7 separate regions of the Mus musculus genome follow, and all the other regions are reported to be linked to region 2. Evidence: microRNA targets listed by miRTarBase, many of them from high-throughput screens and not tested one by one. Region 2 holds a microRNA gene; each other region holds the end of a gene's coding sequence.

Evidence for each region. Region 2 holds the annotated microRNA mmu-miR-1192 (AAACAAACAAACAGACCAAAUU, at 1,338-1,359, shown strand). A microRNA usually pairs through its seed, bases 2 to 8, with sites in the 3' UTR of a target mRNA and lowers its output. Matches are read on the target gene's strand: a 7mer-m8 pairs with bases 2 to 8, a 7mer-A1 pairs with bases 2 to 7 and ends in A, and an 8mer does both.
Region 1: the mRNA of Hdx is a reported target of mmu-miR-1192. Seed matches in the 3' UTR shown: 7mer-m8 at 3,424-3,430, 7mer-m8 at 2,736-2,742 and 7mer-m8 at 1,713-1,719.
Region 3: miRTarBase lists Hykk as a target of mmu-miR-1192. Seed matches in the 3' UTR shown: 7mer-m8 at 1,848-1,854, 7mer-m8 at 1,852-1,858, 7mer-m8 at 1,856-1,862 and 7mer-m8 at 1,860-1,866.
Region 4: the mRNA of Espnl is a reported target of mmu-miR-1192. Seed matches in the 3' UTR shown: 7mer-m8 at 709-715, 7mer-m8 at 713-719, 7mer-m8 at 717-723 and 7mer-m8 at 721-727.
Region 5: the mRNA of Tacc1 is a reported target of mmu-miR-1192. Seed matches in the 3' UTR shown: 7mer-A1 at 3,300-3,306.
Region 6: miRTarBase lists Vamp4 as a target of mmu-miR-1192. Seed matches in the 3' UTR shown: 7mer-m8 at 2,168-2,174, 7mer-m8 at 4,045-4,051, 7mer-m8 at 4,049-4,055, 7mer-m8 at 4,053-4,059 and 7mer-m8 at 4,057-4,063.
Region 7: miRTarBase lists Ube4a as a target of mmu-miR-1192. Seed matches in the 3' UTR shown: 7mer-m8 at 3,196-3,202, 7mer-m8 at 1,029-1,035, 7mer-m8 at 1,025-1,031 and 7mer-m8 at 1,021-1,027.

What each region holds. Positions count from the first base shown.
Region 1 is chrX:111,573,656-111,577,819 of GRCm38, forward strand. Hdx (highly divergent homeobox) reads right to left here. Exons shown (of 10, transcript NM_001080549.2): 10 at 1,549-3,743. The coding sequence ends at 3,618. It also overlaps the pseudogene Gm7340. Among named protein-coding and RNA genes, the nearest start is that of Rps6ka6, 38 kb to the left of the region's middle.
Region 2 is chr19:23,148,113-23,152,276 of GRCm38, forward strand. It overlaps Mir1192 (microRNA 1192), which reads left to right and starts at 1,319; the gene lies at 1,319-1,439. All of the region lies in intron 1 of Klf9 (Kruppel-like factor 9), which reads left to right.
Region 3 is chr9:54,945,824-54,949,987 of GRCm38, forward strand. It overlaps Hykk (hydroxylysine kinase 1), which reads left to right. Exons shown (of 5, transcript NM_177351.4): 5 at 243-4,101. The coding sequence ends at 703. Among named protein-coding and RNA genes, the nearest start is that of Psma4, 3.0 kb to the right of the region's middle.
Region 4 is chr1:91,345,600-91,349,763 of GRCm38, forward strand. It overlaps Espnl (espin-like), which reads left to right. Exons shown (of 9, transcript NM_001033292.3): 9 at 1-2,704. The coding sequence ends at 338. Among named protein-coding and RNA genes, the nearest start is that of Klhl30, 3.4 kb to the right of the region's middle.
Region 5 is chr8:25,156,015-25,160,178 of GRCm38, reverse strand. Tacc1 (transforming, acidic coiled-coil containing protein 1) reads left to right here. Exons shown (of 13, transcript NM_177089.5): 13 at 359-4,164. The coding sequence ends at 427. Mir8108 (microRNA 8108) reads left to right here and starts at 946; the gene lies at 946-1,054.
Region 6 is chr1:162,594,036-162,598,199 of GRCm38, forward strand. It overlaps Vamp4 (vesicle-associated membrane protein 4), which reads left to right. Exons shown (of 8, transcript NM_001356527.1): 8 at 511-4,164. The coding sequence ends at 539. Among named protein-coding and RNA genes, the nearest start is that of Vamp4, 26 kb to the left of the region's middle.
Region 7 is chr9:44,922,481-44,926,644 of GRCm38, forward strand. Ube4a (ubiquitination factor E4A) reads right to left here. Exons shown (of 21, transcript NM_001346698.1): 21 at 647-3,495. The coding sequence ends at 3,369. Gm30934 (a long non-coding RNA gene) reads left to right here. Exons shown (of 2, transcript XR_379340.4): 2 at 1-1,765. Among named protein-coding and RNA genes, the nearest start is that of Atp5l, 3.8 kb to the left of the region's middle.

The sequences.
Region 1 (4,164 bases), not on the chromosome of region 2:
ACTTTGAGAACATCTGAAAAAATATGCCCGTGTCATTGTAGTACAGAAACCAGAAGCTGAACAAAGAAATCAGCACTGACATCTTCATCTTCAGAGTCTTCCTCTGCATCCGATTCCTCTGACTCAGATTCCAACAGCAGCAAGAGCAGCTCAGAGTCCTCCAGTGAAGCAAGCGACTCCTCCTCCTCCTCTGGCAGTCAGAGATCTGCCTCAGCTAAAGGTACAAAGAAGAGGCAAGGCAAGGCCGGGGGCGGGGTGGGGAAGAAGTAGATAAGTTAGCCAGGGACCACCAGGCATGTGACAGGAGGCTAGGAGGAGGCAGGGAGGACCAAAGACACCAGGAAGGGAGGACTGAGAGAGCAAGGTCTGAAAGACAGAGAACTCAGAACTCAGGAGACACAGACTGGCAAGATCCCCTAGCAGAGCACATGGAAGACAGAAGCCATGAGAATAGTTACAGCAGAGTTGGCAATGGCTGAGAACAAGGCTCACACAGAGAGCCAGAAGACAAGCATGGCGAGCCAAAGAAGAAGCGGTGAGAGAGAAAAGATTTCTTTTTCTGAAAATGAGAAACACAGAACCCAAAATCAGGACAGTGATAATGTCAGAAGAAAAGATCGCTTCAAGTCAAGGGAGAGGAGTTGAAAGCATTCTGACCATAAAGGAGATGACAACAGGTGTCAGAATGGTGCCAAGAGACGCTGGGAAAAGCCTAGCAGATGCCCTGAACATTCTAGAGAATCAAAGAGAAGTCAGGACGAGAGGAGAGAAAAGTCTCCAACAAAACAAAAATAATTCTAATGACAACTGAACATGCCTTAAATTTAGTCCAGTGTCTTTTTTACATTGATGGATTTTATAGAAAACTCTTGTAAAAAGTGCCTGTTTGTAAACTTTAAAGATTTTTTTGAGGTTTTATAATTGATATATCTCAAGGTCCTTTGTGTAAAATCATAAAGAAAAGAGGTTCAACAAAGGGGTAAGTCTTAATTTTTGTGAATAAAAGGGACAAATGTTAAAACAAACAAACAAACAAAAAAACCCAAAACAACAACAAAGAACACCTCCATTTAATATTTGTAAATGTTTTAGTTCCTATGTTCATAAAAGATATAATCCTGTGGCTAGAAGAAAAACACCAGGATAAAAGTAGTCCTAACTAGACTGTGAGGACCCACAGCTTCTATTTAAATGAAACTTTAAAAAGGAATAGAACAATTTATGCATCCTCCCAAAATTACAGATGTAACATTCTTTCTAAGAATCACATCTATAAGAATCCTTAAATTAATTATAACTGCTAGTTGAAAAACTTTTATTAATAGACTTGAAAAGGTTAACAGGAGACATTTCTTTGTGTTTTGAAGGCCAGCTTTCCTCAGGCTACCCAGTGCTAGAGTTGTTACTATGTGTCCTAGTACCCAGCTGAAATAATTCTTTTTATAGTCCATAGATTATTTAAAAATTCCAGTGTCTGCCACAGAATCTTTCCTATAGCGAGAGCTCCAAGGATATTTTTAATGAGCTCCAAGGATTTTTTTTTAATGTAGTAACACATTTCTAAGATGTGAAAATAATTTTTTGTTGTTTTCATTTGTTCTGTAATGAAAACCAACTAGGAAGTGTCTTAAACTGAAGCAGTTTAAAGAGAAACTCAATGGTACTAAAGAAGATCACAGAGAGACTTGAGACCAGAAATGGGTTCCTACTCAAACAAACGGAACCTAGGTGTGGTGGGGCACATCTGCCATCCAGGCATTTGGGAAACAAAGGCAGGAACAGCAGGACTCAAAGCCATCCTCAGCTATATTGGAAATATGAGGCCAGATTGGGCTACAGGAAAATTTGTCTTAATCCTCCATATAATAAAATAATCAGGGTTTCTGTATTTGTTGTATGTAGGGAGGACTCTTATTTTATGGAGAAATTTATGTGACTGAAGAGCTTAATCTAGATGTTTGAGCTTCTGTGGCTCAGTGGTCTTTTCCCTGAATGGAATTTGGTTTGTCAGCAAGGACTACCAGAAGTTGTTTGCAAAGAACCACATGACTTTCAGCTAAAGGACATGATTAGCTGACTACTGAAATATTTCTGCTGACAAGGAAGCCATAGAGGTTGTGTGGCAACAGTGTAAAATCAAACATTTGATGAACTGAATGGTCATCAGTGAACTTTACTTGTATATAGTAATGAGAAAGGACATTTCTGAGCTAGAGGGATTAATAAGGGCCTTTCTGGAATCATAAATTGGTATCAGTAAATTCTGAGATCAGAATAGCTGTAGTTAAGAAACTTAAACATATCTGAAACTTGATAATTGAAACAGTTATCTAGATGCTTCATGCATCTTTCAGGAATAGATAATAATTTAATCGTGTAATATAGTTCCACACAACCTAGTTACAAATATATGACATTGTGAGTTTAGGCAGAAACTAGTATTTTTCCATCTATAGACAGACCTTAGTAATACCATCTGGTATTCCAGAAGGGAAGATGCAAAAAGATGTCTACAGTGTGCTGCCATTTGGTACCTACTAATAGTAACAACTGGGTACCATGCTCATTTTAGGTGTGTATTCATAGAATAGCATCCAAGAGATCCAGAGGACTTTGATTTACAATCAAAGTATTATATATAATTATTTTTTTGACATTATTGTTGGCTTTGTGCAGGCCTCATATGGAAATGAGGTAAACTTTGTGGCAAAGTTGTATGTCTAGAATTAAATAAAAACAAACAGATACCAGTACCATACTTTGATTTCCTGTTTCACAAATTTTAAGATATGAAAAGTATTATGAAAATGTTGATAAACTTGAAGTATTTGTGCAATATTTTGTCTGACTCAATTATATAAATTTACTATATGGTAGAATATTAATCATCAATACTTATCACTTATTGTATACAAGAATTGAGATTAAAAGTGTTTTTTAAAAAGTACAGTTTTTATGTACTTAAATGTTTTGACATTTTGACAATGATTCTACTTTTCAGAGGATTTTTCCCTCTCCCCAGTGTCAGGAGTACCAATAACTTACAATTACGTCCTAGTAAGTGCTTCAATTTTCAATCATTATCTTAGGTCAAATTCTCATCGGAATTGAAAAATAAATCCCAGGATTCATCCAGGTTAAATATATGATTAGGCCTGTTGTAAATTTTTAGCCCACTTTCCTGAGTAAAAATGTATATGAATGATAAGAAAATGAAGTAGGAAGAAAGATGTAATGGCTACAAAATAAAACTAACCAACTTAGTAATGTTGTGATATGCTTATTTTCTATATTTCTGGATAAAATTAAGATTCTTCTTAAAGAATAAGCAAAAAAATCTTTCAGAAATCAGATATAATAGATTTCATAGTGGAGTTGGTCAAAATTAAATACAATTTCCTAGGATTTTATATAAGTTTTAAAAACAAACCATTTCAAGTATTGTACATGCTTTTTATTTTGTATTGTAGCCACTATATCTTGTCATTCCTTCACAGCATATGTTTGCTTTAACAATGTGTTTTTCCAGTTGAAGACTGTTTGGGAAACAGTACAGTTATCTTGAAATGCACACCTGTTAGGCAATCAACAGACTAGATCATATCCCCCACTCCCAATCACAAGCTGTCTGAGGCATTTTTCTCTGATAAAGAAGACACACTGAGTGAGGTATCATCAGGATCCGGCGAGGCATGACTGCAATCCATCTCTTCTAATTCTGGAGGTAAATCTGACAGCAGTGCCTGGGTCAAAAAGAAAAAAAAATCAATTGTGTTGCAGTAGGATTTTTTTTTTACAATTTTATGTTAATACTTGTAGTTCTTTTCTTTTAATGTATTGTTATGAATTTTAAAAAAAGAAATATTTCTTTTTAAGGATTTTACACATTTCCTTACCTAAAACAGTAACTCTTCATATAATATTAGGAAGGAACAAAATATAAATGCCAAGTATCTGGATTAAGTAGAGTAAAACTTTAGACAAAGGGGAAATCAAGAGGGAAATGAGCTATTCTGAGGACACCAGATACATCTAGGATGGCATTGTTGTAGACATGAACAACTATTTCAAACCAACGACCCTTCTTAGAAAAGGGCTTTTAAGTGGTTGAGGCAAGTAGTTTTCATGCTAGTTTTGTGTGTTCATTTCTTACTCATAAAAAGA
Region 2 (4,164 bases):
CACTTCCCAGGTGCTCGGGGCTTTGGAAGCCTGTGGTAAGAGCTGAGAATCTGGACCTGGGATCCAAAGGTTTCCACTCCATCATCCCAGGCCAGAGCTGCTGGGTCTTTGCGTGAATGAAAGTGTTTTCTGGGGTTGGGGGATGGAACCTGGGCCTCCTGAGTGCTGCTAGCACTGTGTCTTGGGCCCCTGAAATTTATTGATTTATTTTTTGTTTGTTTGTTTTTCGAGACAGGGTTTCTCTGTGTAGCCCTGGCTGTCCTGGAACTCACTCTGTAGACCAGGCTGGCCTCGAACTCAGAAATCCGCCTGCCTCTGCCTCCCAAGTGCTGGGATTAAAGGCATGTGCCAACACTGCAGATCATTGTGGCTCAGAACAATGGGAGAAAGGTTGGGGGACTTCAGCACCTGCCCTTTACAGGGGATCAGCTCTGCTAAGATCACAGTTAGTGACGACAAGGCCCTGGCCCATCAGAATAGTGAGTGACTTCTCAGGAGCTCTAGCTAAGGCAAGGGGCTTCCAGAAGAGCCTTTACCTTCACCATAGAAACAGAGGTACCGTGATGGGAGCATGCACCTGCCCAGGCCTAACCTAACCCTGACTCCATAACTCTCATCACAAAGACTCAAGCAAAGCTTTTATCTCCCTGAAACCTCAGGTTTCTCACCTGTCAAATGGGGTTCCATAATTATATATATTCATGAAATTATGAGGCCACGTTCAGATGAGTCATTTAAAAGATTATGCATGCCAACCTTTTGCTGAGGATTACTACAATTAAAAAATATATATTTTACATACATATCCCAGACACCTTTGAGAGCCTTAGAATTTTTGTTTAGAATTCTAGGTGGACTCAGGATGGTGCTGAGCAATGGTGACAAGTGAAAGGTGTGTTAGATGGCGACAGCCATTGAGACTTAGTGAGCACTATCGTCCTGAACATGTAGTATGTCTCAGAGCCTGAGCTAAGTGGCTTACGTGCATTTCACTTGAATGTTAATCCCATAAGACCGAATAGAAGTGTGTTGCTTTTCTTGTTTAAACAGGAGGAATCAGACTCGTCCAAGGTTATGCTGAGATATTCCTACTGTTGTTTCAAGGTCTAAGTTGTACGTGAGGGCTGTTGAGTGGCTTGCTCCCAGTGAGAAGAGATTCTGTATTTATTCTTATGGCTCTTTTGGGTTTGGCCCTAGAGCCACCATCTTAAGCTGTCTTCCTTGTGCCCCAGGTCTGATGTGAAGATAGTTTTCATGAGTTTTAGTTAGGAAAGTCAACAAAAATAACTGCTCCTGACCTTGTCACCCGAAACTATTTCCTTCCAAACAGTAAAAACAAACAAACAAACAGACCAAATTTGTCATTGTTGTTTCGATTTGCTCTTTTTGTTTGTTTGCTTTTGTGTTTTGAGACAGGGTCTGGCTTGTATAGCTCATGCCAGCCTGCAACTCTATGGTCTAGGCTGTCTTTCTGCCTCAGCTTCCAGACTGCTGAGATGACAGGCCAGTGCTGCCACACCTGCCAGGGGCTGGGTTTGGGATCCATAAATAGGTTGCAAGCAAGAAAGTCCAGACTTGGACTTGCTCTGAGCTGGGCGTTGTGTCTCTCACCTATAATCCCAACACTTGATAGGCTTAGGCAGCAGACAACTGCCACGTGTTAGAGGGCACACTAGGCTACTTAGCAAAACTTAAAAAAAGATTAAAAATGGAGATCCAAGTTCAGGAGTTGCTGAATGCAGATGGACATTCAGTGCCCCCTCTCTCTATGGCTTTGCCACCCTCTTGCTGGCTCTGGCTTCATTCATGAGCAGGCTGTCTCTGAATGGTACTAAAATGGCTGCCAAGCAACACCAGACTCACTTCCTGCCAATTCAGCAAAGCCCCACAGAAAGACTACTTCCCATTCCTAATGATTCCAGCAAACAACCCAGGCTGAAAGCCACGGCTAAGCTTAAGTGGTGTGTCCCTTATGAAAACAGACTTATTTATCCAAGACTCTCAGGTCTGAAGGTGTGGGCTCAGAGAAAGGACTGGCTGCAAAGGGAAGCAAGGTGCACTGTTCCTTACCAGTAGAGGAAGATAGAGGCCAGACAAGGCGAATCAAACACCGATGTCCACTTAGGCTTGCAAATAGGCTGTGCCAAAGAGCAGCATTTATTTTCTCTGCTCTCCTGAGCTTAGCAGAAAAGATAGGCTCTGAGCGAATGGACAGAAAGGACCTGGCAGAGTACAGATAATTTCAACATATTTTACAAGTGCTCATGCACTCACAGGCCCCCCTGAGGAGATGATTGGGGAACCAAGACCAAACAAATGCTTCACATGGGACAAGTTTTATAAGCAGCCGTGTGATCTTCAGGGTTTTCACATCATCTATTCCAGTGCTCTGAGGGATGAAATGAATCACATTTACGTGAGCATTTATTATCCCAGGTGTTACTTAATAGAGAAGGTCTCTGTAAAGATGAGCCATTTATGTAGTGGTTCCTATCGAGATTCCAAAGTCCTTTCAATGTGCACCGTACTCAACAGAAACACCACAGTAAATACAGGAAACAGAAAATAGAGCTTACACACACACACACACACACACACACACGCCCCAAAGTGACTTAAATTCCTGGGCTGCCGTAATTCCGTTGTAGTTGTTGTATCATTACAGTTTCAAAGACAGTAGCAGAATGAAGTTGGGCGTGGAGTGCATGCCTCTAACCTGAGCATTTCGGGAGGACTAAGCAGGAGGGATGAATTCTGAGAGCATCCAAGGCCGGCTTGGGTCACTTGTCCAGATCCCATGGTGGGCAGGAGGCGGGGGGGGGGGGGGCGCGCCTCATGTTTGGAGAGCTCAGACCCAACCTTCATAGTTTCTGGTGATGAACACTGAATCAGGCCAATCTCTGACTCATTTTGTTGCAGAAATGAGTGGTTCAGTGGAGTAAGACTCTGTCACCACAGCCATACCCTGGTACCAGCAATGCGAAGTCCCCAGGGGGGAAGCTGGAGACAAATGATGGCATAGCATTGCCTGTCTGCCTCATCTGTCACAACCTACCTAGCTAGCTGGTAGAGTGGGCATAGTTACTAACCGCCCCCCCCCACCCCCGTTGGAGCAAAGCTCTATCTTGGCAGTATAAGAGTTCTTAGGATCAGTGAGTTTGTAAAGATACGATTCTACAGCTACACTGGCCTCAAACTCACAGTGATCCTTCTGCCTCAGCCTCGCAAGTGCTGGAATTATAGAAACAGCTTGTTAACACATTACATTGTATTATCTTTCTGAGGTAAAACTCAAGACAGCCATGCTAATTTGGGATTCCTCGCGTTCTTTCCCTGGTTGATATCTGGAATAGCAAAACTCACAGGCTGCTTTGGCATCATGAAGGGTCATCCCTGCAGCCTGGTGGTCTCCACTGGCTGTCACACACCCACTGTATGCTGAAGAGTGAGATTCTGGGCACTGTGACATTGCTTTCCTCTGGTGGCACCTAGTCCCGTCTCAACCCGGGTCCCACTTGACCACAACAAGCCAGCCCCTCAGGTGCCGTTCCAGTAGGACCTTCCTAACCTGGGCTTCCACAAGTTGCACTTGGTCTGGCGTGGCTGGGAGGTAGCAGCCTTTTCTGAGCACTTCCTGGTCTGACTTTAAGAGGAAATACAGAGCTCTGGCGCTCCCTAGAGACCTCTAACATCTGCACAGACACTGTTCTGCCAGCCCCATTCAGGGCTCACAAGCATAAGGTTGAAAATAACAGTAGCGAGTAGAAAAGACCCACGTAAGCCTCAAAACGCAGCAGCCTGGCCCTCTATGGACCGCTGGGCTTCGTCCATGATGCGTTGTGCTCAGGAAACAATCCAAGTACAGAGTCTGTACTGAGGCTTGTTACTTCTGCACTTGCACAAAGATGGCCAAGCAGAGAGGTCAGGGGCCGCCGTGTGCACTCCAAGGTCTTGGAGGTGTTAGCAAATTCAGAGGGAGTGAGCTTAAAGTGCATAGCTTTTTGTTTACTGAGACAGGGCTTCCTGTAGCCCAAGCTAGACTTAAATTTATTAGGCTACCAAGGATGGCGTTGGACACCATCCCCCTACCTCAGCCTTTTCAAGAATTGGAATTTCAGGTGTGTGCTACTTACAGCTCCAGGCTTGGTATTCTACATTAAAAAA
Region 3 (4,164 bases), not on the chromosome of region 2:
TCACCAGCTACCGTCCGAAGTGCTTTTTGTGGAAAACAGCTATCTACCTCTATAAGAGAAGCCATGCACATAAGACCCTGTGTCTCCCCCCAGAGAAAATGGCTTTATTTTCAGAAAATAGTTTGTTCTTTTATCTCTGCTTGTTCATCAAATTATTTAGATGGCTGTGCTTTTAAAAGAAAGATAGAAAGAGAATGAGTTAGCATTTTAAATAACTTTTTACATGATCTTTCTGATTTCAGGTATTAATCATGGTGATCTTAATGACCATAACATTTTAGTAGACCTCAGCAAGTCAGCCTCTGGAGAAGGTGTGCATCAAGTGTCTGGGATTTTAGACTTCGGTGACATGAGCTATGGCTACTATGTGTTTGAAGTGGCAATCGTTATCATGTACATGATGATTGAAAGCACAAACCCTATACAAGTAGGAGGTCACATCCTCGCAGGGTTTGAAAGTGTGATCCCCCTGACGGCTGTAGAGAGGCAGGCTTTGTTTTTACTTGTATGCAGTCGTTTTAGCCAGTCTCTCGTCATGGCTGCATACTCCTGCCAGCTGTACCCAGAGAACAAAGAGTACCTCATGATTACAGCCAAAACCGGATGGAAGCATTTACAGCAGCTGTTCGACATGGGCCAGAAAGCCGTTGAAGAAATCTGGTTTGAAACTGCCAAGTCCTATGAATCTGAGATATCCATGTGACTGCCGCGGTAAAAAAATTAAATCGCTCAAAACTCCCCGGTGGTGCACATGCGCTCGGCGCTATGCACCCACAATGTTCTGGATTCCCGAGTGAAAGACACACACGCACAACCTTATTTTTAATATGCCCTAAGCAGGTCAATTGCCGGGCCACTCCCTAACTCCACTTGGTTAACGCACACTCCACTTCAATATTCCTGAGTTATTACTTACTAAAATCTATATATTATCTTTGTGCCCTGGACCTGGCTGGGCAGCCCTCCTGGGCAGCTTTCCCCCTGCACCTACATGTCGGCGGTCTTTCCCTTCTGTATCTTTCTGGCGTGGTCCTATGCCCCTCTTGTGGCAAAATCTTCTCTTCCTACTCTCTCTGTCTCTTCCCAGGAATCCTAAAAGTCCCACCTCTGTCTCTGCCCAGTCATTGGCCGCTGGTAATTTTATTGACAAGTCAAAAACTAACTGGGGACAGGCTTCCTTTAGTCCTAAATGTGGGACACTGCAAACAGGTATTTTTGGTAACATAATTAGCATGAGAACACAAGCCGTTACAAGTGACCTTAGAAAAGCTTGTGTTAATTAAAACCCAGTTGGCCTAGAACAAATTTATGAAGGATTTTTGTGCAGAGTTAAAACTGAAATGGTAAAACAGATCCATTCTCACAGGGCAGTGGTGGCGCACGCCTTTAATCCCAGCGCTTGAGAGGCAGAGGCAGGCGGATTTCTGAGTTCGAGGCCAGCCTGGTCTACAGAGTGAGTTCCAGGACAGCCAGGGCTATACAAAGAAACCGTGTCTCGAAAAACAAAACAAAAAAACAAAACAGAGCCATTCTAAATAGGAATTGGTGAAGGAAGATCTAATTTTTACAGCGATCTTTGGACCATCTTTTACTCTTAAGAAAGTCTACATGATGAACCCTTGCCTAGTATGCAAAGCCCGGGTTCAACCTCAGCACTACAGAAACAAGGAAATCCACACAAGTACCACCCAAGTAAGCATGTCTCTGTGCAGGTCATGCTTGCCTTTTACAAGAAACACACATGATGATACATGACTTGTCTTCAGTCTCCGAAGATCGATTCTCGTCCTTAGATCAATGATTTTTAAACTTTGAAAAGAATGCATATGTACAGCTATATTAATTTTGTTTGTTTGTTTGTTTGTTTTTGAGGCAGGGTTTCTTGGCTGCCCTGGAACTCTCAAATTCATAGAGATCCAATTGCCTCTGCCTCTCAAATGCTGGAATTAAAGGCATCTACCACCGCACACATATTCACATATTTTGAATAATCCACATATTTTAAATACCTAACCTATACATCGCTAACTCTATGAATTCTTCCTTAATCTCACCTGTCAAGAAGTGAGGTAGTGAGGTCTTTCTGTCTTTTTTTTTTTTGGCATTTTACTATTACCTGCATATTGTTGTACAGTCATCTATCTTGTAAGTTACCATGACACAGACCATGAGAAACTTAAATACATAGCTTACACATCACAAATTCTGTAGACTCTTAATCTCACCTCTCTAGAAGTGAGGCATTCTATCTTTTTTGTGGCATTTCACTCTTACCTGCTGATGGTTGTACAGTTATCTATCCTGTAAATTGACATGGCACAGCCATGAAAAACTTACATCTGGGTGTCTCTTCTTGTCCCTCTGATAGTGCCTTCCCCACAGAAAAGTCTTTGGACACATTTACAAAATGAATGCATGCAAGAAGAAAGATATGGTGAAGCCCTCGGGGAAAACACAAGAGGGAGTCCTGAGAAAAACTTGTTTGGGAGAGTAGCTGCAACCAGAACTCCAGACACAAGTGCATTGAAGCACATGTAGGCATCCAGGCAAGGCCATTATCCAGGACACCAGCAAGGCGCCTCAGCAGTTAGGGCTTACTATGCTCTTCAGGCTGGTCTTAAACATCGTGGCTCCCAAGATCCTCCTGTTCAGCCTCCCAATGCAGAGACTATAGTGATACACCATTCTGTTTGGCCCCACATGTTCTTTGTTCTCTATAACTAATGATTGCCTTTTTATAAGATTCTGTAAAAATGCAGATCATTGCATTGCATACTTGGCTTAAGTTTTATCTCAGTATTTCCTTTACTGGCTCCTTTTCATGTCTCTCTAGTCTAAGTGGCTATTTACTTATTCTTGTAGGGTGGGATTTTTTTTTTTTTCTTTTCTGTTTTGAGACTGGATTCCACTGTGTTGTCCATACTGGAATCAAGCTGTCGCATGGTTATCCTGGACTCACATGATAATCCTGCCCATGCAACCCAGTAGCTGGGACTGTAGGCATGCATAGACCACTCACTGCATTCTTTTGTTTAACCACATGCTTTCTAAAGATGACTCAGGTCTAGACCCCTAGTCATTTATTTAAACATCTTGTTAGTAGTTATCCGTCTATGTGAGTAGGCTTTGATACTATAACTCTTGTCTGATGTTTGCCTGCCTATCTACCTGTCTAAACTTCCCAAACTAGGTATTTCTCTGAATTTACTTATACAATTTATTTTTAACTTCTCCATGTCTCCCTTTTCTTTTCCTTTCTCGTTTCTTTTCTTTTCTTTTTTTAGAGCAAGATAATGTTTGTACTTAGAGAGTCAATTGTGAGGGTTTTTTAAGAGGCTATGGCAGCCTCTTAGCATAGACTCTGGCACATAGTAGAGGCATAATAAATAGTTACTAAATAATGGATCATATTTCAGGTTACGCACACTCAAAATATTGGTGTGGCACGCTGCTTGCCCTTCTCACAGTCAGCCATCGAGCCCTGCTGCTTTCACAAATCAGGATTTTAGGTTAACAAATCTGGAGCGGTTTTGTCTTTCCTGCTTCATTAGTTTTTCAGTAGAATATACTATACTACAATGATTATTGAATGTTATTTTACATGCACTACCTCATTTAATCCAGAACAGAATCACAAAGATATTCTGATGATTAATCTCCATTTTTAAATAAAGAAATAGAGCCTTGAAAAGCTGATTTATTGCTTTAGAAGGGAGCTCAGGCTTAGATCTTGAATTAGGTCTTTGGGCTGTTACCCCTGTTCCTAATCACTACAAAATCCCATCCTGCTGCCTTTCCTTCCTTGTTTTTACACACCCACACCCACACCCACACACATGGGGGCAGTACATGAGATCATTCACATGTGAAACACTTAGGATACTCATATTTGAGGTTTTTATTTAACTTGGCCAATCAGGACCAGAAAAATGGGCTGGAACTTGGGTCTCATTCCAAATCAGTGTTTATCCTGTTATACAATGGAACTCTGCAAGTTTCTCTTGATTGTTCTTGCTAAGAGAGATTCTCCACTAAATTCCTATTGCAAATATTGCTAATTTCTGTTTGAAATTAAATATATGCTGCATTGTATGGATATTTTACCTTTTGGTCTTTTTTTCTCTCTCTCTCTCATTTTTAAAACAGTCTCACTATATATCCCTG
Region 4 (4,164 bases), not on the chromosome of region 2:
AGGCTGTGCGAGCCTTCCATAAGGCAGTGACCGACGAGGTGGCCGCGGGTCGCCGCGCCTGGACCGACGGCTTTGAGGACATCAAAGCCCGCTTCTTCGGCTCCAGCCAGGGTCCCCCCTGGGACGTGGAGCCAGGTCGCAAGCTGGGCCTGACACCACTCGGGTCCTTGCCCCATGCTTCCCTTCCTGGCAGCGGCCCTGAACCTGCGGTGCCGCCGAGGCTGGGGTCTGATTCCCAGGGGAGCAGCTTCAACAGCGGAGACATCTGTGGCTACATCGACCGCAGCTTCGCATTCTGGAAGGAGAAAGAGGCTGAGATGTTTAACTTTGGAGAATGACTGTTCACCTGGTGCGATAGGACGCTGGGGGGGGGGGGGAGAGGTTTGGGGTTCCTTTGTTCATTCTTTGTGCTCCCCGGGGGTCAGGTGAAGTGGGCTGACTTCTGTCTGTCTTCATAGAGATCAGAGGTCTCTTAGGCCTTGGTGCCCATCTCTTCTGAGCAGTGACTGGGATCAAATCCTTCTCACTTGTGAGCACAGCCCTCAGACCCTCAAGTGGTCGTATGGGTCTGAGGGTCCTGCAGCCAAGGAGCTGGTTCTGTTTCCAGCTGTCACATGGGTGTCAGTTTTAATGGCTCAGGTGGTCTCAGCTACACGGCCACCTTCTCTACACCTCCCTTTGGGCCTCAGCTCTGGGCCTGCCTCTATTGTTTGTTTGTTTGTTTGTTTTCTGGCAACTTCCTATCTCTAAAACCAGAGGGAGCTGTGTCTAGAGTGACCAATCTCCCTGACAGGAGAGCTTCTGAGACCCCAAAGCCTCAAGGCAGACAAGTGGCCCTGCCCCGATTCTCCTGCTGGTCAGCATAGCTGCTATGGTATGAATGCTAGCAGCATCTCTTCTCTGGCACTGCCTGGACCCTGAAGGAAAGCTCTCTGTTAGGCCTTTGTCTTCCAGCTGACTAACCCTTCCAAGACCCTCAGATGGAGGCCGTGGCTGGGCCACAGGAGGTCCCTAAGAGCAAGGATACCAAGAGGTGAGGAACCCTTTGAATAGAAAGGTTGGTATCCTCTGGAGGGAAACTGGCCTTCAGAAGCTGGGAACAGCTTACAGCAAGGGGCAAACATAGCAGGGGTGTTCATGTGGACATCTGGGTGTCACCTTCCCACTTGGGCACAGAGAAAGGAGTTAAACACCTTGGGGATTCCAGGTACCATAGAGAGCCACAGGAGCCAGGTGCTAGAGAGGGATCCCTCCCCACCCCCAGATTGCTGACTGTAAGATAGAGCTTGTTTGATTCCCGCTTCTGGTGACAGACAGAAGGATGAGTCACCACCCACCTTATGGGGGCCAGGAGAACTGGCCTGGAATCCATGGAGGACTTTGGGGTAGTGACTTTTTGAGGAGAATACAACTGGCATGGGACAGGGATCTGCAGTCAAGTCTCTTAGGGGCAAAGCCATGCACAGTGGGGACAGGCCATCTCCAAGAGTCTCCTACAGTGTCCCCGCATTACCACTAGGGGGAGCAGGGAGTCCTAACCTTGGGCTCTGGGATGACAGTAGAAAGGCAGTCTATACAGACTCAAGACTATGTAAGGGTCCCATAGACGGGGACCTCCAGGGAGATAAAGTTGGCACAGGGCATGGGTTTTGGTGCTGGGGGAGCCACAAAGGGCAGTGGTACAGGTCCTGGCTCCAAGTTGCCTCCAGCCTGGGCCCACCTGGGACCTGCTCTGAGATGGTGGGGTGAATCCTCCTTTTCTGCCTTTGGCTTCCTCTGCCTTTAGAGTCTCATCAGAAGCTGAAGCTGGATATATGTTTGCTAAATAAAATTGCCACCACAATACCCACACACCAGCAAAAGCAAGTGCCCCCTCCCAGCCCCGGCCCTCTGGTGTAAGCTGCACCTTTTAAAGATGGTGGCACATTTTAGTTTGGTGAATTCACACTTGGAGTCTATTCTGGGGGAAATAACTGCATAGCTGATCCTCTTCATCACAGCACCCAAAATGGAAAGTGACCCGAAAGCCCGTGAATAGGAGCTGTGCCTGGTGTCACCTCCAGCCTTGGGAAGGAAGGTATCGCCATGTCCAGATGAAATTTAAACCTGTGTTCTCAAACCAATCTCCTCAAAGCTCATGATTCACCATCAAGTGATCAAAACAGTGACTTGGGCTCCTCCCGCGTCACGCCCAGACTCATGGTTGACAGTCTGTAAGGGATATTGTTATTTGCTGCTGGAGAGTTCTTCTTTATACTTTTCAAACCCGTGTGTGTGATTTTTTTTTTTTCCAAATCACCCTAGGCCTATTTTAAAGGTGCAGCCCTTGGAAGAAATCTGTCATTTTGAGATCCTAGTTGAAAGGGCAACAGAAACCCCATTTGTCTCCATTTAAGGACCAGGCCTGATTCCGAAAAGAAGGCCATAAGCGCCAGCTCCAGGAACAGCCTAAGGATACGCACAAAATGGGGAAATATCTCAGAATGAGCCACCTGTGCTGGGCAGCCCTATCTCATCCTATGGTTAAACATGACATAGAAATGCAGACCTCTAATCACCTGTGACCCACTAGCACTCACAAAGGAAATTTTAGATTACCCTACCTTTTAAAGTAACCTACCTTTATCTAGGGTAACCATTTCAAAAAATGGTTGGCCCCCCGCATGCTGGTTGTTTCTGCAGAATAAACACTCTTTGTTTTTGCATACTCTCTGAGGCTGGGGTCTTCCTTCAGCAATTTTCAGACCCTTATACTAGTGTTGTGTCTCCTGCCTGGTCTGTCATCTGATGATGCACCGAGCCTCTAGTGCCCGCATGGTCTGCTGGGGACCTGCTCACTTGGCACAGCCAGCACTCTCTGTGACAGAGCCTGTGTCACCATTCCTGTCCTTCACTCCCTCTAGACAGAGCAGGGAGGCACTGACCCTGCAAATGGGGTGTTAAGCAAAGCCTTCACCTTGCTTCAGTATCTTTCCCCTAAATGCCTCCCAGACAAGGACACCCATGAGGGTCCCCTATACCACATGAAGTTTAATATCAAAACCGGAGAGAGCGTCTCACTGTGGCCAAGAAACGAGGGACGAAGGAGAAGGTCATGGAGGTGAGTAAGGAGAGAAGCACAGAGCAGGGGCCCTGCACATGGCAGGCCCTGCAGGGCTCTCCTGGGGATGAACAAGTTCTTCCTGGGAATGAGGCTGTAGTGAGTGTCTGCTACATGAATGTCCCCAGCTGCTGTACCAGACAGGAAGATGTCATGTATCCAGCACTCTGCCAGGAGGGCTGTCCCTCAGGGCCACCTGGGACCCTGTCTGTGAGAACATCACTTCCATCCCTAGTGCCCTCCCAAAGCAGCATACCTATGGTTATTCTACATGTGAGAAGGAGGGAGGTACTGATGATACGGCCTAGCCTGCTCACCCAGGCTGAGGTGTCCCTTCTGTGCACTGAGGTATCCTACCTGTGCATTAAAGCACCCTGTACTGGCTGGTTTTGTGGTCAACTTAACACAAGCTGGAGTTATCACAGAGAAAGGACCCTCCCTTGAGGAAATGCCTCCATGAGATCCAGCTGTAAGATATTAGTGATCAAGGATGGGAGGGACCATTGTGGGTGGTACTATCCCTGGGCTGGTAGTCCTTGGTTCTATAAGAAAGCAAGCTGAGCAAGCCAGGGGAAACAAGCCAGTAACATCCCTCTGTGGCCCCTGCATCAGCTCCTGCTTCCTGACCTGCTTGAATTCCAGTTCTGACTTCCTTTGGTGATGAACAGCAACATGAAAGTGTATGCTGAATAAACACTTTCCTCCCCAACTTGCTTCTTGTTACCATGTTTTATGCAGGAATAGAAACTCTGACTAAGACAATTTGGTACCAGCATAGTGGGGTATTCCTATGACAACCTGACCATGTTTCGGGAGGACTGTGGAAGGACTTTGGAATTTTGGGCTAGAAGATCCATTCGGTGTTAAGAGCTCTGTGGGGTGTTCTGAAGGCGCTTGGAAGATAATGTTGAGAACAGTGCAGAAGATGGAGGCCTTGCTTGTGAAATTTCAGAGGGAAGATTAAAGACTCTTATCAGGGCCATTGCTGTTTTGATTGGGAAGATTCTGTAGTTCTGGTTAGCTGGGACTGAAGAATCAGCTGTGATTAACAAGATACCAGAACT
Region 5 (4,164 bases), not on the chromosome of region 2:
GCTTGTGTCTGGTAGCCCTGACTCAGACTCTGGAATCCCAGTCCCTGAAGCTGCTGGCAGATTAAGTGAAACCCGCACACTTGTGTTCTAGCAAGTGACCCTCACACAACCAGAGAACCTGGGACCTAAGGTTTACGGGCAAGGTTCAAGAGAATTGGTGGCTCTTGCACCCTCAGCTAAGTTTTAGCATAGTACTGTGTGAACACAGGCACACTTTGATGGGTGGGTGGCATTTGGCTTTCTTTTCTATAAAGACTGTGATACAGAGAAGTGGAGAGCCAGTAGGATGCTCCGGAGGGTCTAGCCACTGGCTTCTTCTCTCAGAACACAAAGCAAATCACCATCTTCTGTCTTTCAGAATCAAGAGATTGAGGAGCTGACAAAAATCTGTGACGAGTTGATCGCAAAGCTGGGAAAGACCGACTGAGAGCCGTCCCGTGAGCTGTGCAGATCCGAGTCTGGCTGCTTCTGTCGTGACCACATTATCTTGCCTTATCCAGAAATAATGCCCCCCACCCCCCTTTGCAGAGAGAAGTAATTGTTTCAAAGCACATGCCTGCTGCTGCCATCGTCCCCGCTTCGCCGCTGCGCTGCCGCTGCTGCTGCTGCTGCTGCTGCTGCGGCCTGGCTGGTGGAGAGGGAGTCACAAGACAGCTCTGCCCTGCGACCTGGCTGCCAGCTCCCGTTAGAGCTGCTGCTGGGTCTGGCTTGTGCTTCTACAGCCTGAGTTCATCTAGCTGTCGTCGTCGTCTTTGCTTTTCCCAAGTTTGTGACATTTCTAATTTTGTGGCAACTGTGTGGGTTTATCTTCCCAGCTCCTGTTTGATGTTTTTATGACCTAGTTAATGTTTTAAGTTTTCAGTATCAGCAGTTTTACTGAAGGGGGCAGTCTGAGTCATCGTCACTAACACTTGGGGCTCCGAACTCCCTTTTAGTTACAGACGGACTCATGCATGTGTTCTCTACATTCTGCCGCTTTTCCCCTGAGGCATATCCAGATAAGACCCTCTGGGGAGGAGCGTAGTTACAGAAAGAAATGTAGGCTCTTATTTTGAAACAGAGCCCTAGGTCTAAAAGCCAGCTTCAGACTCGGTAGGGGCTGGGAACCTAGCTCTACTGGGGAGTGCTTCCGGTACACAGAGCCCTGGGTTCGGCCCCCAGAACTACAAACACTGGATATTGGAGTGCATGCCTGTGATCTCAACTCTCCAGAGGTGGAGGCAGGATGACCATAAGTCCAAGGTCACCCTCAACTACATAGCCTCTTGGAGGCCAGCCTGGACTATGTGAGTTCTTGCTTCAAACAAGGAGTGAGTGGAAGCATGGGGTATCCCAGCTAGTGGGAGGCAGGACAGGAAGATCACTTGAGCCCAGAGTTTAAGGACAGCAGTGCACTAGGCAAACAGTCCTTTTCTTAGAAATCAAACACCCAAACCAAACCTTGAGTCAGGGTGGAAAGGCTGAGGATACGAGGGCCAGGGGTCATAGCTTTCATGGCTAAGGAAGATTTGCCGTGCTGTCTGCTGCCCCGGTGTTTGGATACCCCAGGACCTCAGCATGGTCCCTTATGCTCATACCAAAAGCAGCAGCGTGGCCTCCCTCAGAGCTGGCCTTGGATGCATGCGTCCACCCCGGGGCCGATGAGTCTCTAAAGCAAAGTCAACTTCTGTTATTTATTTGAACCGCACACCAGTGGGATGTGGGAAAGGTTTAGTTGATCTTGTTAAAAGATGACAGAAGCCCACATTACCAGCCAGAGAGTGAAGAGCCTAGGTTTTCCCTGTTTAAAGGCACGGCACCCTTTTAGAGACTTAAAAATAACAGCAACAGCAACTGCTTTCATACTGGAGATGGGCTTTTAAACAGAACGGGCCGGCCGTAAAGAGTCCTCTGGCTCGTTCTCCAAACCAGCCCCTGGGAATATTCTAAACAAAGACTGCTTGAATGCTGGGAAGGGGAGCAGGGGGGGAGGTCCACAAGACAAAGCAAAATTCTATGAACTCAGACTGGACTTACCCTGAGGGCGTTAATCCCCAAATAGACATTTCCCTCTTTGATGCTAGTGACTTCTTTCCATCTATCTAACAGGCAAAGTCAAGTCCACTCAAGTTTTGATGCCTTTTTTTTTTTTTTTTTTTTTTTTTTGCCTTAATCTTATACCCTGTGTCTTCATGGTAAATGTGCACTATTTAGCACACAGGCATATCCCTCCTTGTAAAACCATTGCATGAGCCGACTTCAGCAATGAATTGTGCCTCATGGAGAACCTCCATAGATCTTAAAAACAGTGTTCCTTTAGCAGTGTGTTGCCATGTGCTGTAACTTTTAGCCCCAGGGAAGTGAGTAATGTCTTTTCAAGCTAGAAATCACATTTTTGTCAATATGCATTTATTATAACCGGTGCTTAGGTTAGGCTATATTCTGAGGCCTACTGTCTTTTAACATTTTGTACAAAAAAGAAGAAAAAAAACCCCAACAACCCACAAGCAGACAGAAGTTATCTGTGGTTGGAGAAATGGCTTGACAATCATTTGGGCTCTGAATTTTGTCACAGTGGCTTAATGCAAAGCCCATAGCAGTAGACATAGTGTCATGTTCAAGTGTCTTCAAGGGTCATAACCAATGTCAGCTTAGCCGTCTTCCGCAAGGGAAGTTAATTTTGCATTTTAAGAAGCAACGCAGGAATTCTTGCTAGTGTTACGGCGGCATCAGTGTGCGCTCATTTTATATTGACTTATTTTCAGTATGGAAAGCTTAAGAGGGTCTCCATCGGAAATCTCTTGTTCCCTGATTTTTTTTTTCTTTTAATAGTACTGAGATTGTACCCAGGGTCTTGAACATGCTAAGCAAGTGCTTTATCATGGAACTGTATCTTCCCCTGTCATCTTTCTAAGCATGCATATTTTTAAAGTGTCCTGTGCTGTGCTGTATGTTAGGCATAGGAGAGGAGCAGTGGCTGTCCCTCCCTGCACACTGGCAGACGGGCCTTGAATAACAGGCCCTGCTAAATGAAGCTGCCGTACAGGGGACATGAACTAGCCCTCTAAGCAGTGTTTGCCAGTGGCCTCTTAGTCATCACCATTACCAGGAAAATGTTCACAACGTCCAGCTTTCGAAGATCCTCCGCCAAGAATAAGAATGTAGCTTGCACAACTGGCAAATTAAGAAAATATACTAGGCAGAGTAAAGTCTATTTATTTATTTTGTTTTAATTATATAAGCCCTAAAAAGCTTTTTAGCACCCTGGAGAGTAAAAAATATAAAGTCGTCTTCAACACACGCTAGGGGCCAAAAGCTTCTTTGTTAGGTGATTAGAAGGGGGGACCAGGCATGGTGGCACATGCCTATAACCCTAGCACCCTGGAGGCAGAGGCAGGGACTAAAAGTTCAGGCCTCGACTGGGCTATACCGTGGGGCCCTTGTTTTCAAAGACTTGAAAGCTGTGTCTGGTGGTAGCGTTTGCCGACCATGTGCCAGGCACTGTTGCCAATCCCCAGCACTGTCAAACAAGATATAAAACACAGGAGAAAGGCTCACAGTGGCTTGTGGGATATTAGACGATCTCATTGAGAACCGTTTCTTCAGTTCTGCTTTGCCAAAGTACAGGCAATTCTTAACCTGTCCGTCAGCATTACAGACTGACCCAGCTTACGGTGGGTCGGAAAGCAGTGCTCGCTCTGTTTGGAGACCGGGAATTCCCCTACACTTCATATTCTCTGAAGCTCTAATGTGGATTCAGGCATCTTGAGAAACAGACCAAATTAGGAAGTCCTGAAGCACAGGGCTGGGAGGCCCAGAGTGGATGGGATGAAATCCCTGATTTCAGGGTTATAGCTTAACGCTAAACTTCCTTTCCAGCCAGTGGCCCTGTTCCCCCTGCAGACATGCCTGTGTACAAAAGCTTGCTCAATCGCTCGCTCACTGGGCAGCCCTGGGCTGAGCATGGCAGGCCAAAGACTTCCCTTTCAGCAAAGATGGCGCAGGCTAGAAAGGGCACTCTGCGGCTCACAGTCTCTTTAGGATCTGTGGCCTAAGTTCAGGGCATGCTGAATTGAAAGTGGCGTGGCCCTTCTGAAGCCCCCTTCCCAATTCCCCGGGGCTCCATTTCAGATGATCTCTCTGCTCAGCTGTTCCTGCTGTGTCTCTGTAGGACTGTGGCCCTCT
Region 6 (4,164 bases), not on the chromosome of region 2:
TGGATACCATGCAAAATGCAGACGAGCATAAAAAGGACTATACAGTCCACTGTACTCTCACGATGGCGCTAGCTGCTGTCAATATAATTATTATACTAACAGAACTAGATTAATAAAAGTATATGCTTTCAGTCTTTTCCTATTGATACGTAAGCATGATTTTCAAAAGCTAAGATCACATCCGTTATTTCTAATATTATATGCATTATGTTCCTATATTGTTAAATGTGGAAATATTTTTACTGTTTTGTCATAGTTTATTTGCTCAAGAGGCCTGTGTTAGACAGCTGTGTTGTTGATGACATTTTTTGCATTCTTCTTATTTCATAGTTGTTGTTTTAGCTCCGAGTCTGGCCCTCATTTCTCCTTTAGTGGCCAACGCGTGCGCTTAGGGCTGTGCTTCTGCCTCAGTGTGACCCGGTTCTGATTCTCATGCATTCTTTTTCTTTTTTGTTCTTTTCTCTCTTTCTCTCTCTTTTTTTTGTTTTGTTTTACTTTTTTCTCTTACAGTTCTTATAGTTGTGAAATTCCGTACTTGATTTGATGACAGAGACCCTCATTAAACAAGATCTGGGACAATAATATTTAAAGATTGCTGCATAATGTAAATGAAACCTATGTATAGAACTTTCAAATTTCCTTTTTCAAGAAACTAAAAGGCAAGTACCAATTCAAATTGGAGCATTGAGAATATCGAATGATCACCTTTCCAACTAACAAAATGCATTTTGAATAATTATATTTGATGTAGAAATATCTCTATTTTGCTTTATTCCAAGGATCTAATTTGAAACTAGATACTTGCCAGTCTGTTATTTGTATATATAGTTGAACCCTGATAACAATGCCCCATACTTGTGTTTCAGTTGCATTAAAGACATTATTGCATCTAAGTGAGAGTCAGTCTGGTGACCAGGAAGCCTATGTAGAGTCCTGACTCTTTGCTGCAAGAGATGCATAACCATCCTATCAGTATTTGCAAGAATGCCATTCTTTTCATATTGTAGTTGCTTTGCAGGCAATTTCCACACTTATGGATTAACAAAAGCTAAGTGTTGTAAATGTTTCTGCCTTCAGCTCTACCCGAAAACATTCCAGTAAACCTATTCTGACTGTATAAGAAAATACGTGGTAATTTTTTGGTCTTTGGATTTTGAAAATGGGAAATTTAAACAGTGTGAAAATCATAATATGGTCCTATAAAACTGGAGATAATAAAATTTTTGAAGAATGTCATTGGAGTGTTTGAAAACGAGCACTATGTAGCTCCCAGTCTTGGTCCAGTTGGTTGTCAGTTAAACTACAATAAAAAGGGACTAATTCTGACGTGAGTAAGTGAAGGCTGCAGGTAATTTTTTTCTTGACTTCATTTTTTTAGTGGTTTTCTCTTTTTAATTTTAACTAACCCTGTGCCAGAGGTGCTGAAGTTAGCGCAGTCATGTGCCTCTCACCTTGTATTCTCATGCTCTCTGACACTCCTGAGGAGATGGGTGTCACAGGTCTTCAAACAGCCAGTGTCAGTCAGTAGCCGACTGTCAGGAGCATAGATGTCTTCACATACTCACTCAGTGACTGATGCTGAGGGGCCACCATTGACCCCAGCCTGCTCTTAGGACAAGTTGTGTTCCTTGTAAAGAGTACTGGCCTCTTAATATTGATTAAATAAGTCAAAGTGAAGGTGCTTCCTGCTGTGCAGGGGGAAGGCAGAGACCACAGGAACTGTTCACATGGACATCTCAAGCTGGAAAGAGAGCTCACAGGGGCGGCCAGGATTGGGGGCAATGGTCCTGTATAACAGATATTAGTTTTTGTGATCATTTTAATTCAAAATGTGTAAAACAATTTGGATTTTTCTTTGTTTAATTCTACAATGGTTAATACTAACAGACAAAATGTTTAGACTGGAAAGAAACTTGAAAAGGTGGAAACAAGATTAAGTGGTAGCCGAGCCGGGCATGGTGGCACACACCTTTAATCCCAGCACTCGGGAGGCAGAGGCAGACACAGACGGATTTCTGAGTTCGAGGCCAGCCTGGTCTACAAAGTGAGTTCCAGGACAGCCACGGCTACACAGAGAAACCCTGTCTCGAAAAACCAAAAAAAAAAAAAAAAAAAAAAAAGATTAAGTGGTAGCCTAGGTATCTAAGTATAATTGCTGGAGTTTACAGTTTGTTGCACACTGTGGAAAATCGACTCTGGCCTTTTCACCATGCTCGTCAATTCCTGTGCGCAGCATCTGAACTGAGAATACATCATTTGGAGAAGGAGTGCTCTGCATTCCAGCAGCTGGTGGCTCAGGGATGGAGGTGTTTCCTCCATCAGCACAGCTGATCCCAGTGTGTGTGTCTTGTACCTCAGGTCACAAGTTCCACTGCTTGGTGTGGAAGACACTGTCACTCAGTGTCTGTTAGCGAAGATGAAGTGTTGGGTGTTTTTCTTTAGAAGACTCCAAATTTCAATCTTCTTTTAATTAAGTATGCCACTTTTAAACAAACAATTATAAAACATAGAATTGTAAAGTTAATTTTAAAACATTAATTATAAAACATATTACTTAACTACCTATATATGTAGTTGTTTATATTTAAATTTCTCGAATCTGAGGAAATCCTATTGTCATGGGACTGAGGATTTTACAACAGTGATGGCTTCAATCCCAGTTTATCACTTTGTCCCTTTTGGTCTTATGTAATCCTGAGACCTAACAATGACATTAGGGTGAAATACTGGAAATGTGGGTGTTTCTACAATAAGATGCTGAGAAGAGCCAGGTGTGATGGCTCACACCTGTAACCCCTGCTCTATGAACACTGAAGTAGGAAGGTTTCTCTGATTTTGAAGCCATCCTGGGGTTCATGGTGTGTTCTGTACCAGCCTGGGCTATAGAGTAAGAACCTGTCTGGGGGAAGAAAAAAAAAAGCCAACCAAGCAAACAAATCAGAGGAGAAACAGTTGTCAGACTGATGTCAGGCCTGCCTTCCTTCCCTCCTTAATCATTCTTTTTCTCATTCAGCTCAGATCATCCTGCACTTGAAAAAATGAAGTTTTACCACCATCAAAACTATCACTATTTAACAACAGTGAAGATCAACAGAAAAATTCAAGTAGCTTTGCTAATGTTAGTTGATGCCCAGTGAAATCAGGTCACCACTGCCGTGCCTGATGCGTGCCCCTGTGGTTTTTCTGTAACAGAAGCCTCTCCCTTGCAGCAGTTTGTGATGAATGGGTTCCTCCTCCATCATAACCCAGTGTTAGTGTTGCCTGTGGTCTTTTTATTCCTTTGTCCTAACAAAACTCATTGGGAAATGTCCCAAAAGTTTATAAGCTGGGAAATTTATTGATTAAGAGAAGGTCCAGTGCTGATGATGGAACATTGTTTAAAATGGAGAAAGGGTAGCACACATCAGTTGCAGAGGTGCCTGTGATGGGGTTCCTGTAGACTCTCATTACAGTCCACTCTGGGTTCTGTGTTAGAAAGTAATGCCATTCTGATAGCAGCAACCGGCACCTTTCTGTTCTGTATGGCATGTGGGTGCCCTCAGATGTGATAAGAGCCTGACCTCTGTCCTTGTCACTTAACACCTGTTCTGTGTGCTGTCGGCACTGTAGACCAAACAGACTTGTATTTACATCTCATAGATATTTTATGGCTAGAAAATATGCAAGAAGTTTTTTTAGTGTTGAAAACAAATGTCATTATATGTTCTTAGTTGTATTGAGTCAGAGTGTTACGAAGTTAGGAACTGGACTACTAATCAGATTTTGTGTTTTCTCACAGAAATGTTATCAGAGTCACTTTTACTTCTCTGTGAGTGATAGTAAGAGCATGACTCAGTCTAAACACATGAAGGTGGGGGTTGTCAAATAACAGCAGAAAGGCAGTGGCTCAGAAGACACAGAAAGGGGCCATCTTAGTCCATACAAATGTGCCTTCCCTTAGACTGACAGGGTCTGAGTTTATCTTGTATGTCTTGGTTCTTTTGGTTGGTTGGTTGGTTGGTTGGTTGGTTGGTTTTATTTGGTTTTGGTTTTGGCTTTAGTTTTGTTTGTTTGTTTGTTTGTTTGGATTTTTTTTGTTTTTTTTTTGAGATACGGTCTTACTGTGTGACCCAGACTGACCTCAGATGCACACAGAGCCATCAGCCTCCCACATGCTGGGATTAG
Region 7 (4,164 bases), not on the chromosome of region 2:
GGACATGGTGGCAAAGTATTAAAAGGTCTGTTATTTAGGTTGGATAGTGAAGCCATAAAGGAACTAATTAGAGTCTAAGCTCTTAAGACTTTCTCCCGAAGACAGCCGGAGGGTACCTCTAGAGCAGTGGCTCTCAACCTTCCTAACGCTGCCACCCTTTAATACAGTTCCTCATGTTATGATGACCCCAGCCATGAAACGATTTTTTGTTGCTCCTTCATAATGTAATGTTGCTGCTGTTGTGAACTGTAAATGTGTGTTTTCTGATGGTCTTAGGTAACTCACAGAGAAGCACTGCTCTGAAGGTCTTTAGTGAGGCGTTAGGTCAGCCAGGTGATACACATTTGCTGGCACCCTGCCTTTGAGAAACTGGCAAAACCCACTAGGTTTTCAGAAGGACTTGTGAAACTGTCACTCATCTTTTCTTTCTGTGGTAGTGGTACTGGGATTGGATTTAGCAATGTATGTGCTAGGCAAGCTCTACCAGACTTTCCTTTGAAATGTCTTGATGAGATGCCTGGACTGGCTTTGAACTCACTAGGTAGCCTTGCCCTTCAATTCTCTGTCACCAGTAGTGGGAATTCCAGGCACACACCACACCAGGCTGCCACTAGCTTTCCGTACGGCAATGAAGAACTAACAAGGGTGGTAAGTCAGGTGCTTATTTATTAAATACAAGTTTTGAGCACCCTCCCCCACCCACCCCCACACACAGGCAAGTCTGACAAAAAGTAACTTTCCTGGAATGTCTCAAATACAGTTGTCTATTGAGTTTGATTTCAGTTTAACCTTTTTTGCTGTTTTGTTCTTCATTTTCTGTCTCTAGCATCAGTCTGGCTTGTCACAGTACCCAGTAGGCTTTGGCTTTGCCCAATGGCTGCTTAGCAACCAGAACCAAATAAAGTAATGAAGCGTTTAGAGTGTGGTACTGAGCAGCAACTGGCACTTTCACCTGCACCGTTCGTTATGCTACTTCTCAAGTGTCCCTCAATTTTCACACACCCACGGAAAGCTATATTAAACAAACAAACAAACAACTGCCTGAACTCTAAACAATTTTCCAAGTTTAGTATTAGCCTCTTGGTGAGGTGTGAGCCGACTGAAGTCTTCACTTTCCTTTAGTACTCCAGCAAAGCCGTCATGTAAAACTCGGTAGTCAGAAGTCTTAACAGATTTACAGCCGCTGCAGAGTTCCAGACAAGACACCCTTTGACCTTTGCAATGCACATATGCCTCTTATTGTACCAGGATGGAAGTCTTTAGAGTTTCTTTTTCTGGATGCCTTTAAATTAGTTCACAGAAAGAAAGAAGGCACAGAGGACACTTGGTTTCCTCACCACAGTGGCCTTAAGCTACACACGTGCTTTTGTGATTAAAGGAGTTCAGCAGCTTGGGTGGCGTCACGGCCATTCATAGGAAAGTATCAGAAGAGTTTAAAAACAAAACAAAACACAAGCTTGCCAAAACAGGCTTACAATCTGACGGTTCAGTTCAGAAGCAGAATACAGACACTGGAGGCAGCACGGAGCCCATTCACTAGAAAGCTGCTGGCAACAGCTGTCTTCTCAAGGGTTTGTACCCATCTTCCTCCATTTTTCACTTGTGAAACTTGGGTCTTCCCTCTTTTTCAAATAAGAGCGTAAAAGCATCCTCCCGCATTCACTCTGGAAAAGTAAGAGCAGCAGGTAGAAGCTTATTTCATATGCAGTCCATTCCCAGAGAGGGAGAGGAGAATGCTGCATACAGGAAATGAAGTTCATTTAAAGGAAAGAAATCCTGTCAACATCTAGCTAAATGCCCAGGGGCACACTGAGTCTGCCTTAACCTTCCGGCATTTATAGATATGCCCGAGGCTTCCCTGTTCACAACAGGTACATTCTTCAATAGCCAGAGTGAGATGCTCTCTAATCACAAGTTTTCCAGTTGACACCAACAAGAAAAAACACACAAAGGACTGCCTATAGCAGCTTGTGTTGGAATACTGAAACAGCGCTTTTGCATATGTATACTCTTTTGTAACAGTAATGTTCTGTAAAAGAAGCCACAGCCACATTTTCTTGTCCTTTACACCTCTGGGCTGACACTGATATGAAAACATCCCGCAGAGGACTGGGCCTCTTAGAGCAAACAGTTGGGAGAAGTGGGCAGAATCACTTAGTAACTACCCAGAGAGAAGTATTTATTTAAAATGGCTTGCTTTAATGTCTACTTTGTTAATTGATAAACTAAGGCTAGATAAGAAGCAGCTCTTAGAAGCCAGGTCACAGCCCAAACACTAGCTATGTACATTGTAGTCTTAGGGTTTTACCTGACTAGAACAAGTGAGAAAACACTGCCACCAACTACATAAATCTTACCTGGGAAGACACGATATAACGTGGCACTCAAGTGAGACTAATAAAAAAAGGACACAGTATCTGTGTTTAACACATATACACTGAGATATACTGTTTTAAGTGTCCTAAAATGACATTTTCATGTAGATAGAATATTTATTGCCTATTTTACCTAGGCCTAGACCTTGGAGCACAAAAGAGAAAGGGGCCCAATAGCTTCTCATTTATCCTTTTACTGCAAGTTCCACACATTACTGTCACTCACTGAAAGATTGTGCAGCTATGTTTTTGGTGGTGAGATCCTCATAGGAGTGTTTGTTGTGATCGTATCTTTAAGTGACAAGATAATACAAAAGTTGTATAAGATTCCCTCATCTCCACCAGCCAAAAAAATCTATACACACACTAAGGTATTTGCATTTATCTGGAAAGTTACTCTGTAATATTACAGAGCTATATTAAGGCCAGATGCTTAAGTCCAGACCTTATGGGCTAGTAAATACACAGGACAGTAGGATTTTTGGATGTTATTACTGTCATTGAAGTAGCTGACATCATAGACTTAAAAGCAGTGCTCACTAAAAAAAATGTCTGAACAGTACTTGGGAAGGGAAAGAAAAAAATGGCAGGACATTTTTGTTGTTGGACTTAATATAATTTAGGATAGAAAAGGAAACAAGGAGAATAGGAAAACCGAGGCTAAAATTAGTGATGATTTATAAAGATGCTGTGAGGAAGAGAATTTTCTATAAGCCAGGGAAAGAACAAGGTCTTAAGAATCATAATTATCATAATTTGCACAAGAACAATTTTCTAATTTAAACAACAAAGAATGAAATAAACCAAAATAAAAAACAAAAACAAACAAAAAAACCCAACCTAACCCAAACCAAACCCCAACAAAACAAATCAAAACAAATCAGAAAAGAAAAAGAAGAGGCTCAGAGCCAGGGGGTGGGGGGCAGGAAGAGAGCGAGCGAGCGAGCACAAGCACCAGCTCACGCCCGGGCGTGCATGTGCAGTTCACAGTATTTATTCAGGCTGCTCCTTTTGTTGCTTCCTTTCTGCGAGCCACCGTTGGATTTTTTCTTTCAGTTCTGTGTTGGGCCGGATCTGGTCCATGGTAAGGGGACTACGGTTAAAAGGATCTGTTTGGTCACTAGGACAAGAAAAGAATGAAAAGTGAGTTACTTCTGAAAGTTCTAAGACCCTAGGGCCAAGCAGAGCATCTGAACATCCCACATGCGCTGTGACCCAAGACATGATGCACTATAACTGAGTCCAAAACTGACTCCTGGGTTAGGAAGAAGGAAATGAAAAGGGTGCGATTTGAGTCTTCTTCAGTTTCTCTGTCTCTACCTCATAATAAACCTTATTCAACTGCATTCAGGTTTTTGTTTTATTTCTGTTGTCTTTTTTTTTTTTTTTCAGTGTTTACACAATGTTTCTCTGGGTAGCCTTGGCTGTCCTGGAACTCACTCTTTAGACCAAGCTGGCTTCGAACTCAAGAGATCCACCTGCTTCTGCCTCCCAAGTGCTGAGACTAAAGGCGTGCGCCACCACCTCCCGGCTGTCATTCAGATATTGATCCTAGTGGTTTTGCAAGCTGGAGGTGGTGGTGGTGGTGGTGGTAATGGCTCAGTCATAAGTGCATTGAATGCTCTTGATAACCTGGATTCAATTTCTAGTACCTATATGGAGTTTCATAACCATCTGTAATTTTAGTTACAGGGGAGTCAATGTCTTTTTCTGACCTCTGTGAGCACTAGGCACACTCATGGTACACCTACATACATACAGACAAAACACATGTATAAGTAAAATAAGT